Linked DNA regions of Diceros bicornis minor. The main gene of each other region encodes a partner of the protein of the gene in region 4 in a complex. Links are inferred from orthologs where the notes say so. Each region holds a gene or a part of one and is shown on either strand. Other genes may lie near its edges.

What was found.
Region 1: the proteins of KCNAB2 (region 4) and KCNA2 are in contact, whole or in part, in a crystal structure (PDB 5WIE), measured with the Rattus norvegicus proteins. The link is inferred for Diceros bicornis minor from reciprocal best matches to the Homo sapiens genes KCNAB2 and KCNA2. Residues at the interface, in NP_059000.1 of Rattus norvegicus: Met193, Met196, Tyr199, Ser200, Arg203, Glu231, His234, Lys235, Ile236; in NP_037102.1 of Rattus norvegicus: Asp28, Glu33, Pro62, Met66, Phe69, Asp70, Pro71, Leu72, Arg73, Asn74, Tyr76.
Region 2: the proteins of KCNAB2 (region 4) and KCNA3 are in contact, whole or in part, in a cryo-EM structure (PDB 7EJ2), measured with the Homo sapiens proteins. The link is inferred for Diceros bicornis minor from reciprocal best matches to the Homo sapiens genes KCNAB2 and KCNA3. Residues at the interface, in NP_001186789.1 of Homo sapiens: Met196, Tyr199, Ser200, Arg203, Glu231, His234, Lys235, Ile236; in NP_002223.3 of Homo sapiens: Pro133, Met137, Phe140, Pro142, Leu143, Asn145, Tyr147.
Region 3: the proteins of KCNAB2 (region 4) and KCNA1 are in contact, whole or in part, in a crystal structure (PDB 1EXB), measured with the Rattus norvegicus proteins. The link is inferred for Diceros bicornis minor from reciprocal best matches to the Homo sapiens genes KCNAB2 and KCNA1. Residues at the interface, in NP_059000.1 of Rattus norvegicus: Met196, Tyr199, Ser200, Arg203, Glu231, Lys235, Ile236; in NP_775118.1 of Rattus norvegicus: Glu37, Met70, Phe73, Asp74, Pro75, Leu76, Asn78, Tyr80.

What each region holds. Positions count from the first base shown.
Region 1 is NC_080743.1:43,614,425-43,622,211, forward strand, and holds the start of KCNA2 (potassium voltage-gated channel subfamily A member 2), read right to left. Parts: upstream 3,015-7,787; 5' UTR 2,478-3,014; intron 2,032-2,477; 5' UTR 1,869-2,031; coding exon 369-1,868; 3' UTR 1-368. UniProt on the Homo sapiens protein: Voltage-gated potassium channel that mediates transmembrane potassium transport in excitable membranes, primarily in the brain and the central nervous system, but also in the cardiovascular system.
Region 2 is NC_080743.1:43,675,828-43,683,055, forward strand, and holds the start of KCNA3 (potassium voltage-gated channel subfamily A member 3), read right to left. Parts: upstream 3,013-7,228; coding exon 1,285-3,012; 3' UTR 1-1,284.
Region 3 is NC_080756.1:56,621,357-56,628,498, forward strand, and holds KCNA1 (potassium voltage-gated channel subfamily A member 1), read right to left. Parts: upstream 2,501-7,142; 5' UTR 2,178-2,500; coding exon 690-2,177; 3' UTR 510-689; downstream 1-509. UniProt on the Homo sapiens protein: Voltage-gated potassium channel that mediates transmembrane potassium transport in excitable membranes, primarily in the brain and the central nervous system, but also in the kidney.
Region 4 is NC_080752.1:26,154,416-26,161,540, reverse strand, and holds the start of KCNAB2 (voltage-gated potassium channel subunit beta-2), read right to left. Parts: upstream 3,018-7,125; 5' UTR 2,937-3,017; coding exon 2,719-2,936; intron 1-2,718.

The DNA.
Region 1 (7,787 bases), on a different chromosome or scaffold from region 4:
GGGGTGAGGGGTAAGGGGGTGCATCTCCCAGATGCTGTGTGCATTTAATGAGGAAGGAAAGGTGGCACTGATGTGGTGGGTTATGTATTTGACATGAAGTGGTCTCAATGTGTCTTTCTGAAATCCTGGCTCCATAGGCGACTCCCATCTTTGGAAACCCCTGAGCCAGTGATGAAGATTTGCATGAAAGCCATGGATAGATATTCTGTGTTCTAAATCAAAAATCAAAAGATCAAAAGTCACTTGCACAACTATTGCTTTCCATGCAGAACCAGATACACACTGTAGAACACACTGACTACAATGCAGGCTATTATGCAATATCTGCATTAGTTCCATTGAGCTGGGAGGATGTTATCAGGTTTCAATCAGACATCAGTTAACATTTTGGTAATATTCACATAGTTTGTATTAGCCAAAGTGCAGTTGGCTGTTTTCAAGTTTTCCTCTCTAAAGTCCTCGTTACTGTTGTTTACCCCCTCCTGGATCTCCATGTAATCAGACTTACTAATGGTAGAGGCACTTCTACTTTTCTTTAGGTCGGGGGAGGATGGGATCTTTGGACAGCTTGTCACTTGCAAGTACTGGGCTTGCTCCTCTCCCTCTGTCTCCCGGTGGTAGAAGTAGTTGAAATTGGACACTATGACGGGGACTGGTAAGGCGATAGTTAACACACCTGCAATTGCACATAGGGAGCCCACGATCTTTCCCCCAATGGTAGTCGGAACCATGTCTCCATAGCCTACAGTTGTCATGGAGACTACTGCCCACCAGAAGGCATCCGGGATGCTGGGAAACTGGGAATCTCGCTCATCGGCCTCTGCGAAATAGACAGCACTAGAGAAAAGGATGACTCCGATGAAGAGGAAGAATATCAGGAGGCCCAATTCTCTCATGCTGGCTTTGAGGGTCTGACCTAGAATCTGGAGACCTTTGGAGTGTCTGGACAACTTGAAAATCCTAAAGACTCTTACCAAGCGGATGACACGGAGGATGGCCAGCGACATGGCCTGCTGGCCCTGTTGGGCATCCTCTGGCTTCTCAGCCAGCTCCGTCCCCAGTGTGATGAAGTAGGGGATGATGGCCACAATGTCAATGATGTTCATGATGTTGGTGAAGAAGCCGGCTTTGCTGGGACAGGCAAAGAACCTCACCAAGAATTCAAAGGAGAACCAGATGATGCAGAGGGTCTCTACAATGAAGAAAGGGTCAGTGAAGGACGTCGATTGCTGGTACCCAATGGTGCTGTTGGAATAAGTGTGGAAGGTCACTCCACTGCCGTGCATGTCTTCATTTTCATCCCGGAATATGGGCAATGTCTCCAGGCAGAAGCTGACGATTGAGATCAAGATCACCATGACAGAGACAATAGCTATAATCCTGGCAGGCCCTGAGCTCTCTGGGTATTCAAAGAGAAGCCACACCTGTCTCTGAAACTCATTTTCGGGCAGAGGACGCTCCTCCTCTTTGATGTAGCCTTCATCTTCCCGAAACATCTCCATCGCTTCTTCTCCCAGCTCATAAAACCGAATTTCCTCAGAGAATATATCTAAGGGCACATTCACAGGTCGCCTCAGCCGGCCCCCAGACTGGTAGTAGTACAAAATGGCATCGAAGCTAGGGCGGTTCCGATCGAAAAAGTACTCATTTCGGAGGGGGTCAAAGTACCTCATCCGCTTCTTTGGATCCCCTAAGAGGGTCTCTGGGAACTGGGCTAAAGTCTTTAGCTGGGTCTCAAACCGCAGCCCTGAGATGTTGATCACCACCCTCTCACAGCACTCGTGGTCTGCCTCTGGGTCATAGGTGTCCTGCGGGTGCCCAGGGAGGGCAGCAGCCTCATCCGCTGGGTCTCCGGTGGCCACTGTCATAGTTGGAACTGAGAGAAGCGCCTCACGCTACACTTTCCGGCTGCCTGGCGGCAGGGACCTCAGGGTGCTGCTTACGGCCCCAGGAAGCACAGGAGCATTGGCCTGGGCTCCTGCGAGAGAGCCCCAAGGGCTCTCTGAGAGCCAGGAAGACAGCTCTGTTTGGCTGAAAGACAGAGGCAGTTAAGGACATGACACCACTCGGCATTGGCAGCCCAACCTGGATTGCCATTCCTCGTCCCCCATCTCTCAACCGAGTTCAGAAACATCACCACCACCAGCAACAACAAAAACCAAAATTTACTTTCACCTCATAAACTGGCTGGGGATCATAGGGGAGTAGACGACAGTCTCTCACGAAAGCTCTGGAATTGCCCTGCACTGGGGGAAGGTGGCTGGTACAGGCCCCCCTCTGCACCATACAGGCTTCATGGAGCATAAACCCATACTAGAGGCTGGAAGGGAGCCCTCCCCCAGGCACTAAACTAATGTCTTGCAGATACCCGCACCCTGGGAGGTATTCATCACACAGAATCTTAGGCCTGGGTCTCCCTCACTGCACCTACCCCATGACTCTACACATGGCTGTTATTAAATGATAGAGTTATTTACCTGGCAAAGCAGGAATCTGAAGCTCTCCTCCTTGCAGAGCTGATCAGATGGTGCAGGAATCCTAGATACACAAACAGGCTGTCTGACTCCCCATCATGTCTTCTCACTTGAGCTAGAAATAATGGTGAGTCATTCTGGGCAGGAGGGCAGGCTCCAGGTCCCGGAGGTGAGCTCCAGGGCCGGGCTGGGCTGGGCTGGAGGGGCAGCGGTGTGCCTGGCCAGGGGCACGCAGGACTCGAGGACAGCCGAGCCTGAGTCTGGAGCCTTTGGAAGGAAGAAGGCCAGATGCAAAGCTCAGCAAAAGCCGGAGTCCTCCTGGCTGTCTTCAGGGGGTGTGACGTTGCCTGGAAAAAACAGCAGCAAGGTGGAACCAGGGCTTTCGGGGGGCTGGTGCCAAGAGTCAGGAGGGCTCTGGCAGCTTTCCTTCCAGGCCCATCTTCCATTCTGGTGTCACACCTAAGAACTACCCCTCAGCCTCCTAGCCTCCTCTGGGCAGGCTTCCATCAGCTGAAAGCATTTTCTCCCAGGAAACAAGCCATCAGGCTTGGCTGGGCCTGTCTCCTCCAGAGGCCTTACTCGGCTAAGCCAGGTACCCCGACAGTCCTCAGCAGCCATCAGGAGGGACTCTGGGCAAAGTCCTCCCACCCCCAGGTCAGGACACAGCGTCTCCCAAGGGAAGGGCTTCCTACGCCGCAGCCTGACTACAAGCTCTGACCCGGCGGGGTCCTGCGGAGGAAGGAAACGTCCCCACCTCCCGAACACACATTCCTTCAGAGCTCATCTGGGGAGACTGCTCACACAGAAAGGTTGGCTCTACAAAAGCTGGCCGGCTGGGTCCCAGGACTTACTCTCCCTCGGGGATCCCTAGGCTGCAGGATTCCCTTTGAGTGGGGTGGCATTTGAACTGGGCAGGCGCTCGACCACCGGTTTCTCCCCAAGAGAAAATTCCTCAAATCTCCTCTGCAGGGAGCGCAGAAGGAACGCTCAGCCAGCCTGGCTGAGAGGCGGCTTGGCAGCAGCGAGAGGGGGAGCCTGGAGAAAGCCGGCTTCCGGGCTGGCCCCCTGCCGGCCCAATCCCGCCGGCCCCAGGGCAGGGAGGGGTCTGGGCCCTCTCCCCATCTCCCCGGGCTCCGGCCGGGATTCCGGCGGGCGCACACCGCGCTCGGCTCGGCGCCGGCAGACCAGACCCACGAGCTGGCAGCGGCCGAGAGCGCCACCTTAACCCCCTCCTGCCCGGTCCACTGGGCTCTCGCTGTGGGTCAGAGCGCAGCCCAGCTTTTTTGCCCCTGGGGTCCAGCCGAGGGACCACCGAGGCTCCATCTCCACCCGAAAACACTGGAGCCTGAAATCCGGGGGTGGTGAGCAAGCTGCTGCCCCAGATCTCAGCTCCTTGCCAAGCCCGGGGGCTCCACGGCAGCCCACGGCCCCAGGGAAGCGGAAAAGCCCTTCTCTGCTGCAAAGCCGTTTTCATTCCGAGTCAGAGAGGGGAATGCAGCCTGGCCGTCCCAAGTGATTCGCGTCCTACCAACCGGTGCGATTTACCAGACATAGTTATGCTGTCAGCTGCACTTCCCATCACCCGCCAGCCCCTCTCTGCGCCTCCGCCCCGCACCGCGCACAGGCAGGCAGCCTAGGGGGTCCCCGAGCCCTTTCCGTGCCTTCTTCTTCGACAGAGCACCAGCCCCCCTCGCCCGCCCCGGCACAGGCAGGCAGCCGCGGTCCGCACAGGCTCGCCCGCTCCAGACTCGGCCCGAGCCCGCCGCGGGGCAGGCTGCGCCGCCCGGCGCCCCGCAGCCCCTCTGGGCGCCACAGCCGGCGCAGGGAAAGCACCACGCGCAGCCTAACGCCCCGACACCGATTTACCCTTCTGGGTGGGCACCCGGAGCCTCCATGTTCCTGGGTGACCGCAAGCGGCGGCGGGGTGCGGGCGGCCAGCCGGGAGCCCGCTCTGCAGTCCCGCGGGCGGCGCGTGCCGAGCGCCCGGCCGCCGCCCGCAGCCGCACCGCGCCACGCAGCGCCGCACCTGGCCCGGCAGCGAATTCGAATTAAAGGGGCCGGCGGGGGCCAGAGCCGGAGAGGCGCGCCGCGCCGACACCACCGAGCTGGCCTCTGAGTTGGGCCCCCGGGCCTCGGCCCCCACCCCACGAGGACAACACCCCATTCTTTGGCAGAGCCCAGCTTACTAACCAGAACCTCGTGGAGAGCTCAGCTGGGTGCTGCCGGGGCCGGGGAACGGGGGGCAGAAGTTGAAGATCGGTCATGAAAGGCTCCTGCCAACATAATGAAGTAGGCGAGGAGGAAACAATCAATAGCAGCTATCCCAGGCCCGAGGAGGGATCCAACCCCGCGGGAGATGTGTTGCTATTATTACGGTGCTGCCAGACAGAATCTACAGAACCCCTCCTGGCCCTCTCGCACCGGCTCGCTCCCTCCTCCTGCTCTGCCTCCTCACCTCCCTCTTACCCAGCCAAAGCTTTGGCTTCGCAGGGGAATGCAGCAGGTGCGGGCCGCAGTGTGGCATAAACTCGTTGCTGTATTCGCCCCCACCGGGAGGAGCCGCAGGAACAGGCAGAGCTGCAGAGCCGACCATCTCGGCTGCCTCCCCACAGGGCCGGGCAGGCTGGAGTCGTGCAGCTGCCATAGCGAAGAGCCAGTTACCCACAAAACAGGCCCCCTCACAGACCTTAACAAAGCCAGGTGGCCCACGGGGATCCGAAATTGGGAGTGCAGCTCATGGCACCCTGGGGTGGGCAGAGGAGGATGACCTTTGCTTTTGGAAGAATATATGTGGGAAGTCCAGCCTGCCCTCCGCTCAGATGGTGGATCTGAGAGGGTCCAGGGTGCTCTTGGGAGCTCTATGACAGCTTCAAACTGTGGTTCCTTGAGCCCAGACTGCGGCACACAGGACCCCTGGATGCAGAGGGGCTCCAGTCCTGGGGAGACTCCTGCTGGGCCCTTCTTGCTCAGACAACCCTCCTCTCTAGGCCTGTAGCTTGTGATGGAAGCTCTGAGAGCCCACAGGGTCCAGCTCTGTGGGATTCCAGCATTTCATCAGGGTAGTCTACCAGGTATGGTTTAAGACTAGAGGCCAACTCAGAGCTGCAGAGGATGGTCTGGGAGGGCAGTGACCTCAGTGAGCTCTGGGAACGACAGATGACTGTAAGGCAGGATTGGTTTGGTTTAGGGCCCCTAGAAGCTGGGCCATCAATGTCCCAGCCTGAGTATGGCCTGGAAGTTTTGGAACCAGCCAGACTGGGACTTAAATCCCTGCCAGGTACTAAGCAATTAATTCACGTCTCTGAACCTCAGTGTCCTCATCTGCAAAATGGGGATACCTCGCAGGCTGTTGTGAGGGTTGTTTATGTAAAGAGTTTAGCCCCCAGCAGACACTCCACAAATGATGGTTTCTCCACTCTGCTTCCCTATGAAACTGCCCTCCTAACTCCAGCCTCCAGCTCAGCTTTTGACTGTTTCTCTAAGGGCTGGATCACCAGGTTTTGTGGCCCCATTCCCTCCGCTTCCCAGTTTGCCCCACCCCTCACCTCCTTCGCCAAGCTGTCCTCCAGAATCCTGCTCCACACTCCTCCCCTGACCACGCTGCAGGGCTGTTTTTCCTCCTTGACACATTGGGTCCTCATGTCAATTAAAGCACAATAGTCTTATCCCTTTGATGGGGTCTATATATTTTCTTTGCCCCCCTTTTTTAAAACGAAAGCCATGGACGGAAGAAAGCTCTTGAGGGAGAATCAATAATCGTGCTAATTGGTGACGTGCTTACCATGTGTCAGACACCATGCTAAGCACCTCTAGCCCAGTGTGTGTTTAATCCTTACAGCTCTATGAGGTCGTTTCTATATAAGTACCATTTCATGGAAAAGGAAACTGAGGCAGAGAGAGGTGAAGCAACCTGCCCAAGATCATGAAGTGGTGGCTCTGGCACTTGAATCAGGTCTTTGTGACTCTGGGACACACACCCTTAGCCCCCACCCCACACTGCTCAGGTAGAATGAGCAGCCCTTGACATTCATTTCTCTCTTTGGGATCGTCCTCTGACCCTGCTCCATCTCCTGATGGGCCTCAGGGGTGTGTCGTCCTGCCTCCCCCCTTTAATGCCTGATCTAAGTGTGAACAGCAGCCAAAAGAAATTAGCTAAAGAAAGAAAGAAAGAAAAAAGAAAAGAAACATAACAGTTGTCCAAGGGCACACGGTGTGGCTTGGCCCTGGAATGTAACTCCTGGTTTGGCGATGCTCTGTGAGAAAAGATCGCGGGCCCAATTCCTCGCTCTGGCACTTGCTAGCTGTGTGAACTTGAGCAAGTTATTTAAACTCTCTGAGCCTCAGTTTCTTAATTTGTCTAATGGAACAACAAAACTACTTTACCAGGTGGTAAGGATTAAGTGAGTTATGAACAGAGGACAGCCAGCTGGCTTACCCTAGGGGTTCAGTCACTGTTAGCTCGCTTTCCAGCCCTAGAGCAATCCCCATTTCTTATTTTTGGCTGCAAAAGAACGGCTGGAATGCCCCTTGATCCCTTCCCTCGGGTGGGTCAGACCCCCAAAGACCACTCCCCGCCCCTCAGTCTGGTTTCCTGCTAGGGCCATACCTTGCCTTCAGCAGAGGGAAGGACCAGTGACCACCACAGTGAGTGACCTGCCCCTGCCCAACACAGGAAAGTTGTTGGTTCCTGTGCTTGTGACTACAGTCACTGGGAGGAGGAGTCTATGATGGTGCACCCACCCATGCCCATGCCCACCCTCCCAAGGCTCAGGAGGGAGGGTCCTTTATTCTTCCTGCCACAGCTCATGAACACAGAAGACTACATGAGCTCCCTTCTCAGGTGTCACTCCCAGAGGACCAGCTCTCCTTCCTTGCATGACTACCACCTCAGTTGATGTTTGTTCCTCCCCCAACCCACCTACCCTGGGTGCTGTGGCGGCACAGCCCCCTCTAGCCCACGGAGGCGGGGCAGGGAAGCACGGAATGCGAGCCCAGGCACTGTGCTGACAGCTTTCCATAGGTCGTTAGATTTCATCCTTGCAACCACCCACTGGGAAAGATGCCATGATCTTCATCTTACAGCTGAACGTTGAAGCTCAGAGAGGACAAGTCGCTGTCCAGGGTAATTTAGCCAGTAAGCGGTGAGGCTGGGACAGAACTCAAGACTGTCCGACTCCACTAATCACTATTCTGTTCAGCTGCCTGCTTTCGCTGTTAGCCGGAGGCCGGCCTCTGGGCTCAATTCCTGGTCTTAGGAACAGGGGTTCGGTCCACAGAGCTTGCAGACCCTTAGGGCATATCCACACATCCACT
Region 2 (7,228 bases), on a different chromosome or scaffold from region 4:
AAATTTCATTTGTTGGCTTGAAACTTCTTGGAGAACGAAGGAAACAGAGAACCATCTTTTAAAATTATTGCCTTATTACTGGCATTTAATTCAAATCATGCCTTATTGTGGTATATATCTAACCATTCCAAAGACGATATTTTCCTTCTCAATTCAGTCACTATGGAATGACATCAATGATTTTTTTGTAGTAAAAAAATATGCATTTTGTGATTCATTTCACCACTTCACGAAGATTCTCAGACTTTGTTCAAACAGTGGTTTCCTTTATGAAATCATGTAAGTAGAAAACATCTGGAAAGATTATTGTGGAAAAGGCAGGGGCTAGGGGGTGGGGCTAGAGAGCAAGAGATGCCATGACAACCTTTTTCGAGTTTCCCAGGAAACATGGGTTGCTATGGGAACTGCATCAGTCAGGTCCGAATTAGTAAGTTCCGCTGGAAGGAGTGTCTGCCACTTTAATCTTCTTGTGATACTGCAGAAGCTTATCTCTCAGATGCATTAGGAAATTTTTTTGTTTCTCTCAGCAGCACTGAAAACATCTGTTTCTAGACTTTGATAGATGCTGGCTGGAACACACACAGAACTTCACAGGAATCTGTTAGTCTAATACTTTTGAAATGCTTAACAAGCCCCCAAGAGTTAAACTATATTAGTCAGATCAGGACATCTTGGGCATTCCCCTTTGTTCAAAGTTGCAGAGAAGCTCAAAATTCCAGGAGGGGAGTTCCAAATAGAAATTCTAGTCAAAAACCAAATAATATGGTGGGTTTACAAGTCATTGTTTTAATTAGACTTTCCATCCACATATCCACAGCATAGGCAATTGAACTAAAGATTCAATAACGTTGACGGGCCCATCAAACCCAAGCACAGTTTAAGTATGTGCCTACTTTACTTAGTAAAGAAACAACTGCCTTTTAATTCTGAGGTTAAACAGTTACTCTTAACTGTTCTTTAGTTTCATTTCCTCCCAGGATATACGGGTTTTTTTTTTTTTTTTATAGGACTTGTACCAGAAATCAAGTTTAAAGTAAGTTTGTTTGCAATATTAAGAGAGAGGGGGAGAAAAAAAAAGGAGAGCTGAGAGAATGCAGCCCACTTGCAAAACAGACACCTGTTTCAGTATGAAGCAGTAGGGAGAGGGAGAAGGAAGTGTGCTTTCCACCTCTTCATGTTCTTTCCTTGATGAATGGCCTGGAAACGTATAAAACGAGGGCATACAAAGACCAAGGGGGCATGTTCCACATAATACTGAGCACAGCATGTCACTTGTATCATATATTAAACATCCGTAAATATCTTTTTGATGTTGACACAGGAGTTGGGATTATTGTTCGTCGTGCAGGTGGCAGTGGAATTGCCGGTTTTGAAGGGGGTCTGGGGGAAAGCGCTATGGTTCATACCCCCCTCTTCGATCACCATATACTCCGACTTACTCAGAGTCGAGTTACTCCTTGCTTTTCGGAGCTCCTCGGCTGAAGAGGAGAGGTGCTGGCAACTTCTCACGTGCATGTACTGGGCTTGCTCTTCTCCTTCGGTCTCCCGGTGGTAGAAGTAATTGAAGTTGGAAACAATTACAGGGACGGGCAAAGCAATGGTCAGGACACCAGCGATGGCGCAGAGTGACCCCACAATCTTGCCCCCTATGGTCACTGGGTGCATATCACCATAACCTACTGTTGTCATGGTTACCACTGCCCACCAGAAGGCATCCGGGATACTGCTAAAACCTGAAGTGGGGTCGTCTGCCTCGGCAAAGTAGACAGCGCTGGAGAAAAGGATGACCCCAATAAAGAGGAAGAAGATGAGCAGCCCCAACTCCCGCATGGAAGCCTTCAGCGTTTGCCCCAGGATCTGCAGCCCCTTGGAGTGGCGAGAGAGCTTGAAGATGCGGAAGACTCTCACCAGGCGGATGACCCTCAGGATGGCCAGGGACATGGCTTGCTGTCCATTGCCCTGTCGCTCAGCCAGCTCGGTGCCCAGAGTGATGAAATAAGGGATGATGGCCACGATGTCTATCAGGTTCATGATATTTCGCGAGAAGGTGGCTTTGCTGGGGCAAGCGAAGAACCGCACCAGCAGCTCAAAGGAGAACCAGATGATGCACAGGGTCTCCACCACGAAGAAGGGATCCGAGAAGCTGGAGGCTCCCGCGGGGGCCCCCGACGTGCTGTTGCGGGCCGCCTCGGACAGCTCCTGCGACGGCGAGGCGGGGTAGTCCTTCTCGTCGCGGAACTCGGGCAGCGTCTCCAGGCAGAAGATGACAATGGAGATGAGGATGACGAGCACGGACACGATGGCGATGCCCCGGGCCGGCCCGGAGCTCTCCGGGTACTCGAAGAGCAGCCACACCTGGCGCTGGAAGTCGCGGCGGGGCAGGGGCCGCTCCTCCTCCCGCAGGAAGCCCTCATCCTCACGGAACTTCTCCATGGCCTCCTCGCCCAGCTGGTAGAAGCGGATCTCCTCGGAGAAGATGTCGATGGGCACGTTGACCGGCCGGCGGATGCGGCCCCCGGACTGGTAGTAGTAGAGGATGGCGTCGAAGCTGGGCCGGTTGCGGTCGAAGAAGTACTCGTTGCGGAGCGGGTCGAAGTACCTCATGCGCCGCTTGGGGTCGCCCAGCAGCGTCTCCGGGAACTGGCAGAGGGTCTTGAGCTGTGTCTCGAAGCGCAGCCCCGAGATGTTGATCACCACGCGCTCCCCGCAGCAGTCCTGCTCCCCGGCGGCCGGCAGCGCGGGCGGCAGCGGCTCGTAGCGGTCGCAGCCGCCGCCGCCACAGCCGCCCTGAGGCGGGGCCCCGCCGCCGTCCGCAGGCTCGGGCTCCAGCAGGTGGTCCCCGGGCACCACGGTCATGTCGGGCGGCAGCTCGGGGCCTGCGGCGGGCTCGGCGTAGCCGGGGTTCACCAGGGTGTGGGCGCCGCCGCCGCTCGCGGGGGGTGGCGGAGGGTGGACGCGGTGGCGGGCGGAGGGCGGCGGCGGCGAGCGCAGGAGGCTGAGGTGCTCGTCCATGCGGCGGGGAAGAGGCGGCGGCGCGGGGCCGCGTCGCTCCTCCTCGCGCTCCCCGCCCCTCGCCGCCTCCGCCCCCGAGCCGAGCCCGCCGCCTGTTGCTGTCGCTGCCACCGCCGCGAGGCTCCGTCTGGGTCTGGCGCGGTGCGCCCGGCTCCTCCGAAAAGACGCCTCCTCCGGCTCCCCTCCGCCTCCTCCCCCGTGGGGCGCGCGCCCGCCCCTCCGCGTCCCCTCAGGATTCCCGCCCACCGCGCGGCCGCGCGCCCCGCTCCCCCGAGGAGCCGCCCCGCCCTCCTCGCCCCTCTAGGTCACGGAAGCGCCCTCATTTTGCGTCCCAGTGTTCCCCCCAATCCCTGGCTCAGCCGAGGCGGACCTCGGGGACTCCGGCCGCCGAGCCTTGGCCCCTGGGCACGACGGGCTTCTGGTCAGCGCCCCCCTCCCCCGGCTCGCGAGGCCGCGTCCCAGGCGCGGGGCTGCTCGACCGGCACTGGGCCACTCGCGGCCCCGCGCGCCCCGGGCCTCCGCGCCTTGCACTCTCCACCTGGGCCCGCCGGGGAGGCGGGCCCCGCAGAGCCGAGGTGGCAGAGGGGAGGCAGGCGAGGAGGGAGCATGGGGATGTGCTCTGGACCCAGAGGGGTGTCGGGGGAGGGAGCAGGCCAGGTGGGCGCCTGGGGAAGAAGCAAGCCTGCTGCCAGCATCCTGAGTCCACCTGAGGGCAGAAGACCGCCAGGCCGGCAGGGCTGTCAATAATTTAGCTCCTTTTTGGATGAGAAGCAGAACCAAGTGATGGGTGCTGATGAGTTTCGCACCCGGAATCTGAAGATAATGGGTCTTTAAAGGCATTCAGGGACTTCACTTCTGCAGTGAATAGTTCACTCTAACTTGCGCAGCTGAGAGTTCAGCCATTGGGAAGAACCAAGGACCAAGTTTCTGGTTGAGATTGGCCGGGGCCTGGTCTTTTCAGTATGGTGAGATTTCCTGTCAGTGGGAAAATAAGAGGAAAATGAAAAGGGAAATTCACATCGCAAGTATCTGGGAGGGAGGGGAATGAGACCTGTACCTAGACCCTCTACTTAATGTTCCACTGCTGGCCTTGTGGGAGGGAATTTGCCACACTCTAGTAGTTAAACTGGGAGAACATTCATTCTGAAACTTGTATCTCTGTTGCTTGATTTTGGCCTGGAGATAATAACTTACATTTATCCCCTTTGAACCTAAACTATTTCTCCAAATGGTTGTGGTCACTTTGAACACAATTTCTGTTTCCAGACATTTTAGCAACTCCAATTCAGAGTCAACCTTAGGCTTAAAAATGTGTTTTCTATTGTATCATTCAAATCATTTACAAAAGAAGAACAGTTGTCTAGACAACTCCCTCACCTATCATACCTTAGGTGAGAGTTCCATTTGTAGTAAGAGTGATTTGTGTTCATTGCTTCCCACCGCCACTCCTAACCGTGAGGTTTGCTAGGGCAGAGACGCGGTCTTATCCAATTTATATTCCTAGCAACTATCGAAGTGCCTGATAAATAGTAGAAACTCAGTATATGTTTGTTGAATTGAATTCCCTAGTAAGTGATTCTTTGCATTTCTGTCTGCTCTGGAGTGTCAACATTTCTCCTCTCTGAGGCCAGGACCACTGGGATTCCTGGGATGAGGGGTGAGGGGAACCTGAGTTCACAGTACAGTACATTACTCAGTTATTCCACATGGTTTCCACTCTGCCTCTTTTGGGTACAACAAGCACTCATGTTCTTCAGGGTCCTCTTATCTTCCACTTCACCTCCAGGTCAGTGCCGGCCACTGCAGGCAGTAACATGTGTTGTAAGGTGGTAAAAGTGGACAACCATGTAAAACATTCTCACAAAACTAGAACACTGTTTTTGAGCTGGTGATTAGGGTAGCAGTATAATCAATCATTCATATATTTAAATCTAGGAATAAGACAGATGGCTCACTGCAAGGATGGCTCGTAGAAAGGCAAAGACCCTATTTTTAAAGACCAAATGTTTCATGCACTTCTATGTCTGACTTAGAAAGTGATTTATTTCTCCATTTGCAGGAATTAGTACTGAAATTAATATTAATCAATGGCAAGGAAGACTAGAACAGAGGAGGGCCCTGTGATGAATGGTCACAAGCTTCTCCCTGCTGTGAAGTCTCTCTCCTACAGAAATGACTATTTCCATTCCTTCCATGTATTTGCCTTGTCTGGAAGACTGGTTATGAGCTTCTTAGGACAGCCCTTACTTTCTATGTGAGGCCCAAAGAAGTTTAGCAGTTTGTTCAAGCTCACACAGCTAGTTAGTGGCAGAGCTAGGCATAAAACCTTGGACCATTTCCAAATCCAATGTTCGCTCTACTGTATCACACTGTGAAACTCTTATGTTGATTACTGTGAGTGCTTAATAAATACTAGATTTCTAACGGCAGCCTATTTGCTTCTGATTGCCGACTAGTTCACTTCAATTCGTATTTATTTTAACTGAAAACCACTGCCTTCTGACAGCTAGTCTGTTGTTTGTAGGAAATGAGTTGGTGGGTGAATTCCAGCCCTGTTGTACGGCAGAACCCATCACAAGAAATCAATGTCAAAAATGGCACTTCAGGAGGAACACATACCATTTATTTAGTACCCCCAATGGAGTAGCTCAAAGTGATTTGAAAATGTCTCATTATTCCTCATGACACCCCTGTGGGATAATAATAATATTATTATAATGTTTAAGCATAGAACTGTGGCAAAGCCAACAGCTTCTCTGAGCATGTGGAGAATTCCTCATATTTCAGTCTTCCATATTAGACCCTAAGTAAAACCATCAGGTTTGCAAACGGCAAGGGTAAATCTTGGTGTTTGGGCTTTCTGAGTTGCTCTGGACATAGCTTGAGTTTCTAACTGATCACAGCAGTACCAGAAATAGCTCACCAGTCAGTTCCAGATGGTTAGCAGCCTCTGGAGTTAGCTCAGAAGTGTTTGAGAGTGGGACAAGGCAGGCCTAGCGATTACCACTAATTACAATCACAGATAAATGAATGGAGGAAGAACACATACTATGTGCAAGTCACAGTCCTAGGCACTGTGGCAGTATGAAGTTTGAACATAGACCTCACCCTCAATAGGCTTACGTGGAGTTTGGAAGATAGGCTATAAATCCACGAAAATCTTTGTGACAGTATTAGTTAACAATACAAACAATAAATATTACCAGAAGTGTCATAAGACACTCCGTGACTATTTGGTCTAGTCTAGCCAAGCTGGCTGTCTTGCTGTTTCTCAATCATACCAAGCTGGCTCCTCCCTCAGTGTCTTCAAACTTCCTCTTTCCTCTGCCTGAAACACTCTTCGTCCAGATTTTCACCCAGCTCTTTGTAACACTTTAGGTCTCTGTTTAAAATGTCACTTCATCAGAGATGTCTTCCCTGACCACAACCGCCTGATTTCAAAGAGTTCCCCTCCGTCTCCTCCTTCGGTAACTTTCTACCTTCTTATCTTCTTTATTTTTCCTTATTGCGTTTATTTACTTGAAATTATATTTTATGATTATTTGGTTACTTGCTCCTTGACTGTGTCCTGCACTAAAACATAAACTGCCCGGTAGCAGGGTTTTGACTTTTTTACTTCTGTCTCCTCCAAGTCTAGCACAGTACCTGGCACATAATAGATGCTTAATTAACATATGTTGAACGGAGGAAGGAAAAGGTGCAGTGTGAGTGCACAAGGCACAGTAAGGTACAGTGAGTGAGCCAGTTTTGCTGGTATAGGGGGTTATTTGGAGAGGTATCTGTACAGTTCTGGTTCTGTTTCATAGACCCAGCTGGGCTATGCAGATATGCAAGAATTGTTTTTTTAAGGTGCCACTTCCTCCCTTTTTCTCTATTTTCCCTTCTCCCTACCCTCCTGGATGGGTCTATCCTGCACTCCAGAATTATACTTTAAGCTGCCCACTTGAATATTCTTCCTGCAGATACTCCAAACTTAATATTTATAACACTGAACTCATTATCTTTCTCTCCAAGCTTGCTTCTCTTCCTGTTTTTTTTTTTTTTTCAATTTCATGCTAGAATACGATGTCATCTCTGAATTGTTCTTGTGCCCCCCACATCCAGTCGGTCACTAAGTGCTTTCTATTCTCCCTCAAGTCCCTCTCAGTTCTGTCCTCACCACTCCATTCTCACTGCCACTGCCCCAGTTCAGCCTGCCATGATCGCTTCATAACAG
Region 3 (7,142 bases), on a different chromosome or scaffold from region 4:
AATTAATTTAACTCAGTTCTCTTTTTCTTAGAGAACAGTTTGGATTAGAAAGGGAATGGGGCAGAGGGAAAATCCCTACAGATCAGGACCAGTATCAGATGCATAAGGTGCTTTGTGAACCAGTCTCAAGTAATTTTTTCCCCTTGTGATATGCAGTTCAGTTGATCAAAATAAAAACGTTTGTTCATTGTCCATCTTGGCTGGTATGTCATGTTACAGATAATACATCAGATGCACTGTCTTAACTGTGCGGTGCAGTTTGTAAAGATTTTATATTGGAGTTCCGTGCAAATTTTACTTTTCTACTCCTAAGTGATCATCTGATTTTTAGTTAAAAGAAAAAAATCAAAGAAGCCAAAGGATTAAAAATGTTTCAGTATGCGGAAGCACATGAGTCTTATTTTACCTAGACTAGCTCACGGACTGAATTTTTTTAAACCAGCTTTAGAAAATACACTTTCTCTTCCCATTTTTTTAATAAAAAGAAAATAGTTTCTTTTTTTCATGGATCTTGAAAGCTTCTGGTTCATCACCCCCAAAATCCGCAATGCAACAATGCATTGACAGTTAAATAGAGCGTATCAAGTATCTACAAAGAGTGACATGGGTCACTATGGTTTTTGTTTTGTTTTGTGTTTCAAGTCTTTCAAGCTGCTAAGTGGGGTTTTTTTGTTTGTTTGCTTGGCTTTTTAAACATCAGTCAGTAGCTTGCTCTTATTAACACAGTTTTGGTTAGCTGCGGTGCAATTGGCAGTTCTGATATTGGCCTGTCTGTAATGGGCTATGCTATTATTCAGATCCTCTTCGATCTCCATGTACTCAGACTTGCTGACAGTAGAGGAACTGCGCCGACTGAGGTCACTGTCAGAGGCTAAATTAGGGGAGCTAACGTGGAGCAACTGAGCCTGCTCTTCCCCCTCAGTTTCTCGGTGGTAGAAATAGTTGAAATTGGACACAATGACAGGTACGGGCAGGGCAATTGTCAGCACACCAGCGATGGCACACAAGGAGCCCACGATCTTGCCTCCAATTGTCACAGGGTACATGTCACCGTATCCTACAGTGGTCATGGACACCACCGCCCACCAGAAAGCATCGGGGATACTGGAGAAGTGCGACTCAGCTTCTTCCGCCTCGGCAAAGTACACTGCGCTAGAGAACAGTATGACCCCGATGAAGAGGAAAAAGATGAGCAGCCCTAGCTCTCTCATACTAGCTTTGAGGGTCTGGCCCAGGATCTGGAGGCCCTTAGAGTGGCGGGAGAGTTTGAAGATTCTAAAAACCCTTACCAACCGGATGACCCTGAGGATGGCCAGCGAAGTGGCCTGCTCGCCCTTCTGGTTTCCCTCCTGCTCAGCTATCTCGGTGCCTAGGGTGATGAAATAGGGAATGATGGCCACAATGTCGATGAAGTTCATGATGTTTTTGAAGAAGTCCGTCTTGCTGGGGCAGGCGAAGAAGCGCACCACCAGCTCGAAGGAGAACCAGATGATGCACAGGGTTTCCACGATGAAGAAGGGGTCCGTGAAGATGTTGGAGTTGTAGATAACCGTGGTGTTGTCGATGCGATGGATGGTGCCTGTGAAGTCCTTGTCATCCTTCAGCTCGGGTAGAGTCTCCAGGCAAAAGATGACGATGGAGATGAGGATGACCATGACGGAGACGATGGCGATGACCCGGGCGGGCCCCGAGCTCTCGGGGTACTCGAAGAGCAGCCACACCTGGCGCTGGTACTCCTTCTCGGGCAGAGGGCGCTCCTCCTCCTTGATGAAGCCCTCGTCTTCCCTGAACTTGTCCATGGCCTCCTCGCCCAGCTCGTAAAACTTGATCTCCTCGGAGAACATGTCCAGGGGCACGTTGACCGGCCTCCGCAGGCGGCCCCCGGACTGGTAGTAGTAGAGGATGGCGTCGAAGCTGGGCCGGTTGCGGTCGAAGAAGTACTCGTTCCTCAGGGGGTCGAAGTAGCGCATGCGTTTCTTAGGGTTGCCCAGCAGCGTGTTGGGGAACTGCGCCAGGGTCTTGAGCTGCGTCTCGAAGCGCAGCCCGGAGATGTTGATCACCACGCGCTCGCAGCACTCGTGGTCGTCGTGGTCGGCCGGCCGCGGGTAGATGCCATCCTGGGGGTGGCCCGGGGCGGCCGAAGCCTCGTCCACGTTCTCTCCAGACATCACCGTCATGGTGCAAACGGAGGGTAGGGGTGAGAGACCGGGAGAGAGCCCGAGGTGGAAACGAGCGAGAGAGGAGGGGTGGGGGGGACCCGAGCGCCCCCCCCACCGGAGTGCGCGTCTCCCCCACGCTCAGGGGGAGGGGCTTCAAAGCGAGCAGGTCCAGAGATCTGTGACTTCGCTTCTCGTTACCTTCCCCTCCACCCTGCCTTTACTGAGTTTGGAATCCCCCTTGCCTGTAGCCAGGGTGCAGCTTTTTGCGGAGGGGTGGGGTCGGGGGGAGGGTTGGTACTTCTTCCTGCTCCGAGGTGCCTTAACGCAGTGCCGTTCTAGCGGACCGGGCCATCGCTTCGGGTGTCACCCTGGCCTCCCCTCCCCTCCGCGAGCCCTCCTAGGACCGGGTGCAGAGCCAGCTCAGCAGATCCCCTCGCCTGCCACCCCCTCTGCTTCTCCTCGGCTCTCCCCCCTTCTACCCCTCTTCGCCTGCCGCCTTCTAAGCTCCCACCGGGGCGATCGATGGACGCTGCAGAGAAATAGAAAGTGATATGGGGGTAGAAAATCAGAAGCATTCAGATGGGACGGACCTACAGACACTGAAGAGCACAGACCTCTAGCTTTTTTAGACAGCACTGGACTTTTGCTAGGGTTATCACAGACACACAGACAGACACACGCAGACACCCCGAAATCCAAGTTTGGGGCTGTTCCATCCCACTTTCCCCAATGCCCAACAGCCGATCTGGTTACAACTTCGTTAAACTAGAGATCGGAAAAGCGCCGAGAGACGCTGAGGGAGCTCCAGATCCCAGGCAGCATCCCCACACCCTCGGCTTCCCGCACCCGGTCGCCCCAAACCCCGCTTTTGCAGCCCCAAATGGGGAGCTCCCTACCTGGCCGGCAGGCTTGGCGCAGGGGCAGTGCTGAGTCGGCGGAGAGCCCGAGTCGGAATGCGGCAGGTCGCCTTTGCAGTACCCGGGCGGGAGCCGCGGCCGCCGCCGCCGCAGCATCCGAGAGGCGCCGGGGCAAACTCGCCGCCCTCGCCCCCTCGTCCTACGGCCCTTAGGTGGACAGTCGCTTTACTGAGCAGCTACGGCAGAAATGTCCATCCCCTACCCCCATTCTCACCCGTTGCCAGCAACCTAGAGACGCTGTCCTCTCTCTGGTGCAGGGAGTTCCGGAGGATGCGGGGCAGAAAAGCAAAATGCCACCCTCTCCCGAAGCTCTGAAGCAAATGACGATAAACAGCACTCTCGCCCCCTCCTAACACTGTGGGAGCCCTTGAATCGATCCCGAAGGAGGCGAGCGAGCAAGAGCCTGGATCTACATGGCTCTCGGGTCCCCTCAGATTCCCGCACCCCAGCGTGGCTCTCGCCGAGGCTCTGCTGCGCGCCGGGAGCCGTTAGGAGCTCCGAGTGGGGCAGGGTGCGTGCGGCGGCGGGTCCGCTCGGTCCATTTCTGGGCGCTGCAAGATCAGCAGAAACCTGAGAAAGCGCCTGGAATGCGCAGCAGCGATTGGCCCACCCGGGCGTGGGTTGGGGAGGGCGGGGGAGGGCAGGAGCGGGGAGGTAGACGGAAAATATGAGGGGGTGGCTTGGCACAGGGGGGTTGTCATTCAGTTCCCACCCTTGCCAGCACGGCCTTTTCCTTCTCCTGCTAGAAAAGCCGACCACTAATTCTACCTCCCTTATGGTCCACAGCCCCGCACACGCACGGTCCCTGGCCGCGACCTTCCCCGGGAATTTCACATTGTAAATGGTCAGGTCCGACGCAATGCAGGCGGTGGTGTTCCTGGCAAAACTCCTCGGATGGGTCTGCGTTCGTGCAGTCCCACAATAATCCGCTTCGGGCGCCACGCTCTGCACGCCATCCGCCCCTCCGGCAGGGGGCTCTCTACAGGGCCAGCCCAGCTTCTCGGAGAGATGCCGACTTTGGGTAGAGCTCTGCGGTTGAGGATCACCTGAGTTTGTTCTGTGTAGCGTTACTGCGAGGCGGTGGTGCTAAGAGTCTGTCCCTCTTTGACTTACGACGGGAGTTGAAGTTTTCACTATAAGATTATTGTAAAATACGGAGAATGTGACTTGTGGGCAATCTAAGGCTTGGTGGGTTTGTGGGGTTGTCTGCCAACTTGGTGCTAATTGGGACGTATCTGAGAAGCAAGTCGCCTGCCCACCTCCCACCTACGTCCCTCTTCCCGCAGCCTCTTATCCTGGCCTAGTGCCTCCACAGGGCCATTTGCAAGGCTTGCAACTTCTTCGGGAAAGGGTCCGCACAGAGGCGCAGGGCAGGACCAGCCGGGGGCGTGCGCGGTGCACTGGGAGTGCGGCTCCAGCTGCGCCCCCAAAGGCGCTGCGCCTCCACGCCTGCAGCCCGCCAGAGGCAGCCAGCAGCTCGGGTACTTCAACTGCTGCTGAGTCTCTGAGGAGGCTGAAGAACCCGGAGTCGCCGCTGATTGGTTCCCCCGCTGCGTTGGTACCACCCCTTCGCACCACCACGGGTCTTGTTGCCTCCCGCCCACACTAGCCACCTCTTTAATCAAAGCCAATGATTGCATCTCCCCCCGCCCCCGCACTCTATCGTGGCTAGTGGAAAGCCCAGGCAGTGCAACAATCCTGGGTAGAGAGCTAGTTAAGTCCCTCCTCCAGATTCAGACGCCAGCATTCCTTTCAGAAAAATAAAAGTGTTTGTTCCCTCCGCTCTGCTCTGCTGGATCCATACCCCAGCTTTTCTTTTATTAGCAATGACTTCTCTTAATCTCCTCTTTCTCATATTGAACGCTGCCTTTTCCCCGCCTTCGGCACACGTATTCCTGTATCCCACTAACTCCACGGTTCCCTAGCTTTCTGCACTACTGCTTTATTGTAAAAAAAATTAAGGACATAAAACAGGAAGCTCTGCGCTGGTCCAGTGCCTTATTTTTGTTGCTGCTGCTGCTATTGCTGCTGCTGCTGTTAACAGCACTAGGGAGATAACCCTGCTAGATCTGATAAACATTTTCTGACCATGTCCTAGGAATACTGGCTCCCCTACCCTGTTCTTGTCCCTCCCTCTGCCTGTAGCCCCCTTCCTTCTTTTAAGTGCCCCTAAGACTGTCATCTCCCTAGCCTCATGTGGATGCACTTGCCCTGATTCAGCATTTGGAGACTGCCTTACTAGAAGAGGCTTGCAGACTGCATGGGATCCCAGCTTCCTAAATTCAGGGTTTTATTAGAGGGCATAATAAGATCTGGAGGTTTCAACCTCCCTAGCAGATATGCTTAGAGCACAACTGGACTCCCAAGGAATTGGAAGAAAGTTGTCCAGCTAGCACATGGTCATTCATCATTCTTGATGTAAGCCCATCATTGATAAGGGTCTGAAGATATTTATTCATTCAACAAATATTTGCTCCACCCTAGCTATGTGTCAGACATGTTCTAGTGCTGGAGACATAGTCATAACTAGGACATATGAGGTCCTAGCCCTCACAGAGCTCACATCCTGGTGGGAGAGATAGACAATAAATAAACCATACATTTTATAATCTTAGGTAAAGAAAATTAAGCAGAGGGGTAGAGAGTGACAAATATAAGTTTGGATGCATAGGAAGGGCCTCTCTGCAGAGGTAACACTTGAATAAAGAACTTCAAGAAGAGAGAGAGAAGGAATGGGGAGATCAGAAAGATAGAAGTAGAGGCAAATGCAAAGGCCTCCGCCCCCAGCCAAGTACAAGCTTGGCATATTGGGAAACAAAAGAGGGCCAGCGTGGCTAGAAAGAAGTGACCAAGGAAGAGTAGTGTAGAAAGCAGGTCAGAAGAGTAGGCAGGGGCCAGATCATGCAGAGCCTCTTAAGCCACTGTAACAATACTTCACTTTATTCTGAGTGCAATGAGAAGATATTGGAGGACTTGGCTCCATATACTAACATTACATGATTTGCCATTTTTAAAGATTATTCTGGCTACTGGAAACAAAGTGCAAGTTTGGAGGTTAAGTTGCAGAAGCAATGATGGCTTAGACTCGGGAGACAGTAGTAGGCTTGTGAGAAGGGGTTGGAATAGGATTACATTTTGAACGTAGAGATGGCAGGATTTGGGCCGTGGGGGAAAGAAATATTTCAAGGACGTCTCCGGGCCGGCCCGGTGGTGCAGGCGGTTAAGTGCACGTGCTCTGCTGAGGCGGCCCGGGGTTCGCCGGTTCCGATCCTGGGTGCACACCAACACACTGCTTGTTGAGCCATGCTGTGGCAGCATCCCATACAAAGTGGAGGAAGAGGGGCATGGATGTTAGCCCAGGGCCAGTCCTCCTCAACAAAAAGAAAAAAAGAGGCTTGGCAGATGTTAGCGCAGGGCTGATCTCCTCACAAAAAAAAAAAAAAAAAAAAAAAAAAAACATCTCCTAGGTTTGTAGCCTTAGTATCTAGGTGGATGGTGATGTCATTTACTGGAGGAGTGGATTGGACAGCTTCTCTCCCACCAGAATGTGAGCTACACAAAGTCTGGGACCTTGTACATCTTAATTATTACTGTATTGAGCAGTTGAGGCCTCTCCTCAGATTCTCTCCACCTCTCCATTCTTCTTGCCCTGTGGCCACTTGCCCTGCCTCAGCTGCTGCTGGAACAGCCAGCTCTGTGTGGGCAACAGAGTCCTGCCTCCTGAGGTTGACCACACAGCAATGAGTGGAATCAGGATTTCTCAACACCACAAAAAGGTCCAGGTGAGCAACACAGCCATGTGGAAGCATTAAATGGACCAGTGGGAGCTTGCCCAGTGGGAGATACGAGATAGGATGGAGCCTGTAGATAAATTCCCTCCCCCTTAATTCATTTCAGGGACAAGCAACCACATGGTCTGGAGACAGGGCTGTATCTCTTTGTGGCTCGTGAAGCAGTGGCCAGCTTGGTGCCACACCACCTGGTATTTGCACCCTCTCCTTCCCTATCTCACTTCCCTTGTCCTTTACTCTCACTGCCCGGGGCTCGCACCTTCCATTAAAGCACA
Region 4 (7,125 bases):
AGGAGGAGCTTACATGGGGATCGTGCAGATTTAAAAATTCAGTGCATTTGTTTTAAACAGCAAGAGTTGAGGACAGTTAAAAACAAATGGGAGAAGCTGAAAAGAAAGCTTTTTCCCCAGCTGCAGGCTCAGTTCAGCCGATAACACGTCCGGCCAGTGGCGTGGGTGTCTTTGCTCCACCGAGCATCACCTATCTGGAGGCATCACCTTTTTCATATTACTATTTAAGACCAAGTTTAACTGAGTCCTGGCCCAGATGCTGATGGGGATGTTAACTGCGGAACAGCATTTATCTGGAATCTTTAATAACTGGTGGCGTTAGTTAGGGAGGCCCTGTTTCCAGACAACCAACCCCCCCTGGATGCAGCAAGATGAAATCCACCAGATAAAGAAAGGCCCGCAGGTGTGACAACCTCTGGCCCATCAAATGCGAAAGGTGCCACCAGTGGTTTTCTTGTTTCTCCCACCCAGTTTTCCCAGGGTATTTCGGCCCCAGTTAGTTCTGCATGTTTCAGATGCCACACAGACCTTTTCCTGGGGTGTCAGGCACATAAGAGATTCGTCCCCATCCCCTCCACCCACCCCCTGCCAGCTGTGCTAGTGTCTTGGGGCTGCCATAACAAAGTACCACAAACGGAGGGGCTTCAAACAACAGAAATCGATTCTCTCACAGTCTGGAGGCCAGAAGTCTGAAAGCTGAGTGACAGCAGGGCCACACTCTCTCCGAAGGCTCTAGGGGGGATCTTTCCTGCCTCTTCCAGCTTCTGGTGACTGTAGGCAGTCCTTGGCTTGTGGCCATATCCATCCAATCTCTGCCTGCACTGTCACATGGCCTCTCCCTGAGTGTCTTCACATGGCCTTCTTATAAGGACACCAGTCACTGGGTTTACGGCCCACCCCATTCCAGTAGGACCTCATCTTAACTAATGACATCTGTAATGACCCCATTTCTAAATAAAGTTTCGGGTGGAGATGAAATTTTGGGGCACACGATTCACCCTGGTGCACCCTCTATCACAAATCATATTCAACGGAGGGAGCTGGGGTCTTCCTAGGGGGAGGACAAACTCTGGCCACCCCGCCTCATCCCTACAGCTCTCCGCCGTCCTCACTTAGGCCAGGCCACTCAGGCCTTCTCTCTCCAAAAGTACGCCTGTCTCCCTGGCCCAGAAGGGTCTGCCGCATATCTTCAAATGTCCCCTTTCAGATGGCTGGGGTCTCTGGCCCAAGTCGTCCCCGGCTCCCCTTACTCCCTTAGGTGTCCACTTGCTTTCTCTCTGCCTCCCCCGTTGAGGAAGCGATATCCAGGATGGGGACGCTGTCTGTCTTGTCCATGTGGCATCTGGCACACCTGTTCCCTGGAGCCAGGTAGATCCTCAATAAACACTTGTTGAATTAATCAAAAGTATCAATGACTTGCCAAAAAAAAGAAAAAATGCAGAGTCTCATCTCCCTTTTGAGAAATTTCCATCAGAATTAGGAGCTCGTTGGGGCCAAACTAGCTTCCCTTACAGCTGGAGTTAGAATACAAAGCCTTAAGGATTCTGCCATCTAATGGACTCACAGCAGAAGTGTTTTGTTGCTTTAAATGACAACCACATGTTCAAACAATCAGCCGAAGGCCCAAACACATTGTCCATAGGAGAAATGTTAAAGCCACAGGCTGGTCACTCTACTCTCCAGAGAACAGCCGATAACCCCAGGGGCCTGTTAGATGGAAGCTAAAGATTTCAAGTCGCCAGATGAAATACAGGACATCCAATTAAATCTGAACTTCAGACAAACAACGAAAAATGTTTTAGTATATGTGGGACATACTTATACTAAAAAAATAAACTCACTGTTCATTTGAAATTCAGATTTAACTGGGCATCCTGTATTTTATTTGCGGAGAGGGTGTTCTCTGGCCAACTGGCTCTGGCAAGGGCTTGTCCCTGGGAGGCGCAGGAATAAAGCTGCATATATGCAATTTATAACGGAAAATGCAAGCTCCAGGGCTCTCTGGCTGCTTTCTGAGGCTCCCAGAGGAGAAAGTAGGCAGGCCGGAGTACTGTCCCAGACGTTGATTTCAACAATGAGCAAGCTAAAGAGAATGTCCTTCTGAGGTTCCCAGGAAATTAAGCCCCACATGCCTGTCCCCTGGAGAACACAGGGTCATTTAATCCACAGCCTTCACCATCACAGTTACAGGCGGAGCTGCAGCAAGCAATTCAGAGGCCACCTGTTGAAACCACTTCCCACGAGGACAGCTCAATTTAAGGATGGAAAGGAGGGGACCATGTCTTTGCCCCCACAACCCAACCCGGGTTTCTGGCGCCAGGTAGGGTTTGTCATTAGAGATGACGAATTGAGGTATTTTCCCTAATTCATGTTTAGTTAACTCCTAACAATTAATTTGTCTCAGCAACGTTGCAAGAAGACAAATGAAATAGCACGTTTACCCCTGCTGCAAAGTTTTTTCAAGAAACCACATTCTTTTCCCACGGAGAATATACCAAACTTAACGGTGCTTTTCTTTGGAGGATAGGACTGTGCAAACTTTCATTTTCTTCCTTTATACATTTCTATATGCTTGGCATTTTTAAACACAAAATATTGACCCTGACATACGGTAAAGTTGTTTTCATGTTTCCTGGGCTTCTCTCTCTTGCAGCACCTGCCTCGGGCCTCCTGCCACGTCCAGCGTACTTCCCGCCCCAGCCCCAGCCCAGCCCTTACCGGTACTTCATGCCCGTGCGCCGGGCGGTGCAGCCATCCAGGGAGAGGCCGTGCATGCGGAGGAAGCTCTCCATGTTCCTGGCCTGGGCGGCCGCCCGCACCTCCCGCAGCCGCTGCAGCTCTAGTGTGTCGGTCTGGCGGACGGGGTGCAGGGCCCAATCAGAGTGACACCTGCTGCTCACGCTCCTCAGGCTCTCGCTGTACGTCATGGACAACATGGTACCGCCTGGCCTGGGAGCCACCACTGTCCAGACGGGAAACGCCGGGTGGCGACGGGTTAGAGAGCGTGCTGCTGCCCCCAGGGCCCGGGCTGGATGCTGGCCCCAGGGCAGCGGTGGCTGCAGAGACACATCCTCCAACTAGAGCAGCCACCAAGGGGTCTTGATGCCCAGGGACGAGGCCAGGCCCCTGGATGTAAATACTTCTTGGCATGAGATTCTCAGTCCTCAAAGCTGGCCGGGAGCTCTGGCTAAGCCGCCCTCTCCCCCCGACACCCGTGAGTCAAGCACAGGCGAAGCCACATTCCAGGCGGGAGAGCTCAAAAGTGCTCCAAATGAACACAGGGGCACAGGGAGCATGCAGAGAGCAGAGCCCCCACAGCCGAAGACCCGACATCACGGTGCTCTCTGGAGGCGTTCCCAGAGTAAAACCCGTGAAGGGCTGTCCCCGGGAAGCAGCACACCTGTCACTGAAGCAGACTCCAGTGTGATTAGGCCGGGGGTGCCTCAGCCCACATGCCAGGGGGCCCTGCCCCAGGAAGACCCTGCTCATTTGTTCCAAGCCTTGTAAAGGGAAGTGCTATCCATACACATTCTCTGCTTGTAGAAAGCGCCATTGCACAGCAGAGTTCTCAGGGCGCCACGCTCCGTGATAACTATGTCACAATCCACGAAGTTTTGCAATAGAAACACTGAGCAGGATGCATTTAAGGAGAGGGGTAAAGAAGGGGGAATAGGCTTAGTATGGATGAGGAAATTTCAAAGCTTAAATGTTAAGCACCATTGCTAAATAGTCATCCTAAACAATGTCTGCACGCTCTTGGAAACTAAAGACAACATACATGTCCATTGATGGGGAAACTGGTTACGTAAATGACAGTCCAGCCACATCATGGAAATCTGTGCTGCCATCGAGAGAGGTGTCTCTACACAGACTGATATTCAATGAGTCCTAAAAGACAGTGGGAAAAAGGCCAGGGGAAGAAGTGTGTGCATGGGACGCTACCATTTACTGTGTGTGAATTCATGTGCATAAATGAGTGCATCAACGAAGGGTGGCATCATGACTGGCATCTACATCCTGCAGCATCTTTGACCGGGCAACAAAGACACGGCCCCAAGGGGCAGAGGTGGCCTACAATCCAGGGACTCCTCCTGCACCTGACCACAGCCCTCCACCCTGGCGCAGCTGCCTGCACGGTAGCCCCAGCATAGTCACTGACGACAGAGGTGAGATGGAGTTACCCTTCCCGCAGGGTCAGCTGCAGAGCGGGGTCCCGGAGCCCAGCCCTGGGAGTTGGAGGAACCAGCACTGTCCCGACCTCTGCTCCGAGGGAGAACAAATCCGATTATCCCTGGGAAGGGCTGGAGGGGCTGTCCCGGGAGCAGAGGCAGCTGCAGAGGCTGTGGCTCGGTCCCTGAGTGTGGAGGTGGTGGAGCCGCCTGGGCTAGCCACACTCCATATCCCCTTTCCTGCTGCGGTTTTTGTCCACGGCACGTGTCATCATCTAACGTGCTGGAGTCTCCTCTAATCATCTTGTTTGTTGCATCTGATCCCCCTGAAGGTCAGGTCCAGGCAGGGGGCACTCTTCTGTCTGCTTTTGTTGCCGCCTGCTCAGTGCCCGCAACACTAACTGGGCATTTCCCTGCCAGTGCCCGGCAGCACCTGGGGGGGCTGGGTTGGCTCCCTGACTCAGGCACAGCTCTCCGCAAGCTGCCTTCTCCTGGGGGGTGGGGGGCCCCTCGGCCAGGACTCGCATTCACTGTGGCTCAGGTCCAAGGGAAGGGGCCTGCAGGGCCCAGGACTTCTGGCGTCCCCCAGAGGTTTGGACTAAGGTCTCTGATGGACACTAAAGCAGGCAGGGATGTCCCTGGTGTAAAAATCCCCCCTTTCTGGGAGAATCACTCTGGGGGCAGTAGAAGGGCACGGGGCTCCAGGGTGGGGGTTTGTCTCAGGAAATGGTGCCACGGAAGCCCACAGACAGCAGCTCCCTCCCTCCCACCCCCTCTCCAAGTGCACACAGGGCAGCATCAGGCAGCTGCTTCAGAGGCCGCTGGCCGTGTGGTGGGGTGAAAGCAGACCAATCCTGGCTTCCGGGGGGTCCATGTTCAGAGAGAAGACCAGCTATGCAGCCTGCAGCTGCAGGAGCTCACCCAAAAAGCAGGACCCACCTCAGATGAGCATTCCTAGCCAGGCCCAGCCAGGCCGAGATCAATAACCATTAGCTTTCAAGTCATCACCCACCAAAAGCAACCCTGGTCTGGTCTGGCTCTGGAAATCTAGCCAAGGCCCTGGGGCTGGGATGACAGTGTGGCTAAGCAGCCAGGTTTCGGGCAGGGGCACCCACTCAGGGCTACCTAGTCAGACATCTCGACCACTCCAAGCCTCAGTCTCCACGTCTGTGAAGTGGGACAAGCGGAGGCCTATTGCATAGGCTGCCTCGGGCTGCAGAGGACCAGCTGGACATCTGGGCAGGGGATGGTGTTGCAGCGGGAGCTTGCTGCACGCGGGGAGGTGGCCACCAACAACAAGGCGTGGCATGTGACACCAGTAATGATAGCTGGTGTCGGGACAAAAATACACAAGACAGGGTGGCAGGGGGGATGGGGCCTCCCGAGAGGGTACACATGAGCATGGGCCTGAGTGCTACGAGGAAGCTGTGCGGATACCAAATATCACTAGAAAATGTTGAATAGGATGAAACGTCTCACGGAGAGCACACGTTCCTAATGAGACGGGTGCAGGACAGGTGCGGCCAGGATCTGGAGGGCCCCTCTCTGTGGGGCTGGGCCTCCTCTGCTGTGACCCTTCCTCGGGAGGGCCTGCGGGTGGGGCGGGGCCACCTGCAGCATGGAGGGAGCCCAGAGCCTCCTGCTGCGAGGGTCCTGTGGAGCCAGGGCAGGTTCCAGCCAGGAGATCTGTGGGAGAAGTGGGGCGTGGGCACAGCAAAAGAGGGGCTGGGAGATGTTCCTCCTGCTAAGGTCCTCAAGGGAGGCAAGACCCCCCAGAGCAGGAAGGACACAGAAGGCACAGTGGGACTTGACGGTCACCAGTGCCACCGGTGGGAGAGGACAGAAGCCAGCTCCCCGGACTTCCTCACACTGGGGCCTATTCCCGCTGCCTCTCAAGGCAACTCGAGCAGGGCTGGGTCCTTGGATGAAGGGTCCCCAGGAGGACACTGCCGGCAGAAGGGAGGGCAAGCCCACGCTTGGGGCTTCTGCCTCGGCCCTCTGGCTTCTCAGAGCTTAAAGCACAGTGACACTGACCTCTCGCTGCTCCTCCTCACCATCCTGCCGCCCATCCCCAGCTCAAGGAAAATCAGCCCCCTCCTCAATAGCCATTGCTAATTACGCGGCGCCTACTGCTTCTGTAGCCTGCCTTTTGCAAATCTATTCTTGCAGACTGGTGGGCTCGGGGGAATTCACGTGAATGAACACCATGACATGGAAACACGAAACAAAGACATTAACCTCATTAAGTCAGTGGAAATCACGACCTCTCTGAAGAGCCTTCCACCTGGCGCTGCTGAACTGTGGTCTGTTTACTGACAGCCACCAAAGCATGAGACGCGAGGTGTGGAAGGAATCCTGAACATCTCTTTTAAACGGCGACATCTGCCTCAATGTCAGAGAAACCAGCCAGAGTTCCTGAAAGCGGGAATGCGAGGGGAAGCGGCATCATTCCAAGCGAGGCTCTACAATGCACGGCATCGCGTCAGGGCAGAAACGAAACGATTTTTGCTGGAGAGCAATCAGCAAACCAAGGCCTGAACAAGCAGCCCCGCTCTCCCAGGCCGTGTTTCCAGACAGACCTTTCAGACAGCCACAAACCTCCCTGCTGTCACTCCCGGGAAACTCGAAAATGCTGAATCCTAACGGTGAGCCCAACAAGGTAGGAGCGGTTTGCCCAGGTCTCCCCCAGACGGGGACAGCCAGTCGGCGCTCGCTCGGTGGGGCTGGGGGGCAAGCATGCTCAAGCGGCAGACACCCACCCTCCTGCCTCCAGCGGTCATCTCACGGGGACCTGGGGCTGGCTTTGTTTGAGGTTTTCCCCTTTGAAAAAATAGAGGGGGTCTAATTTCAGATCAGCCTAACGCATCCCCAAATACCGGCCCTCTGTTATTCCGTTCCTAGGACACTTGTCCCCAAGCAGCATCCCCTGAAGAAGGTGGCTGCCACTTGCACTCCT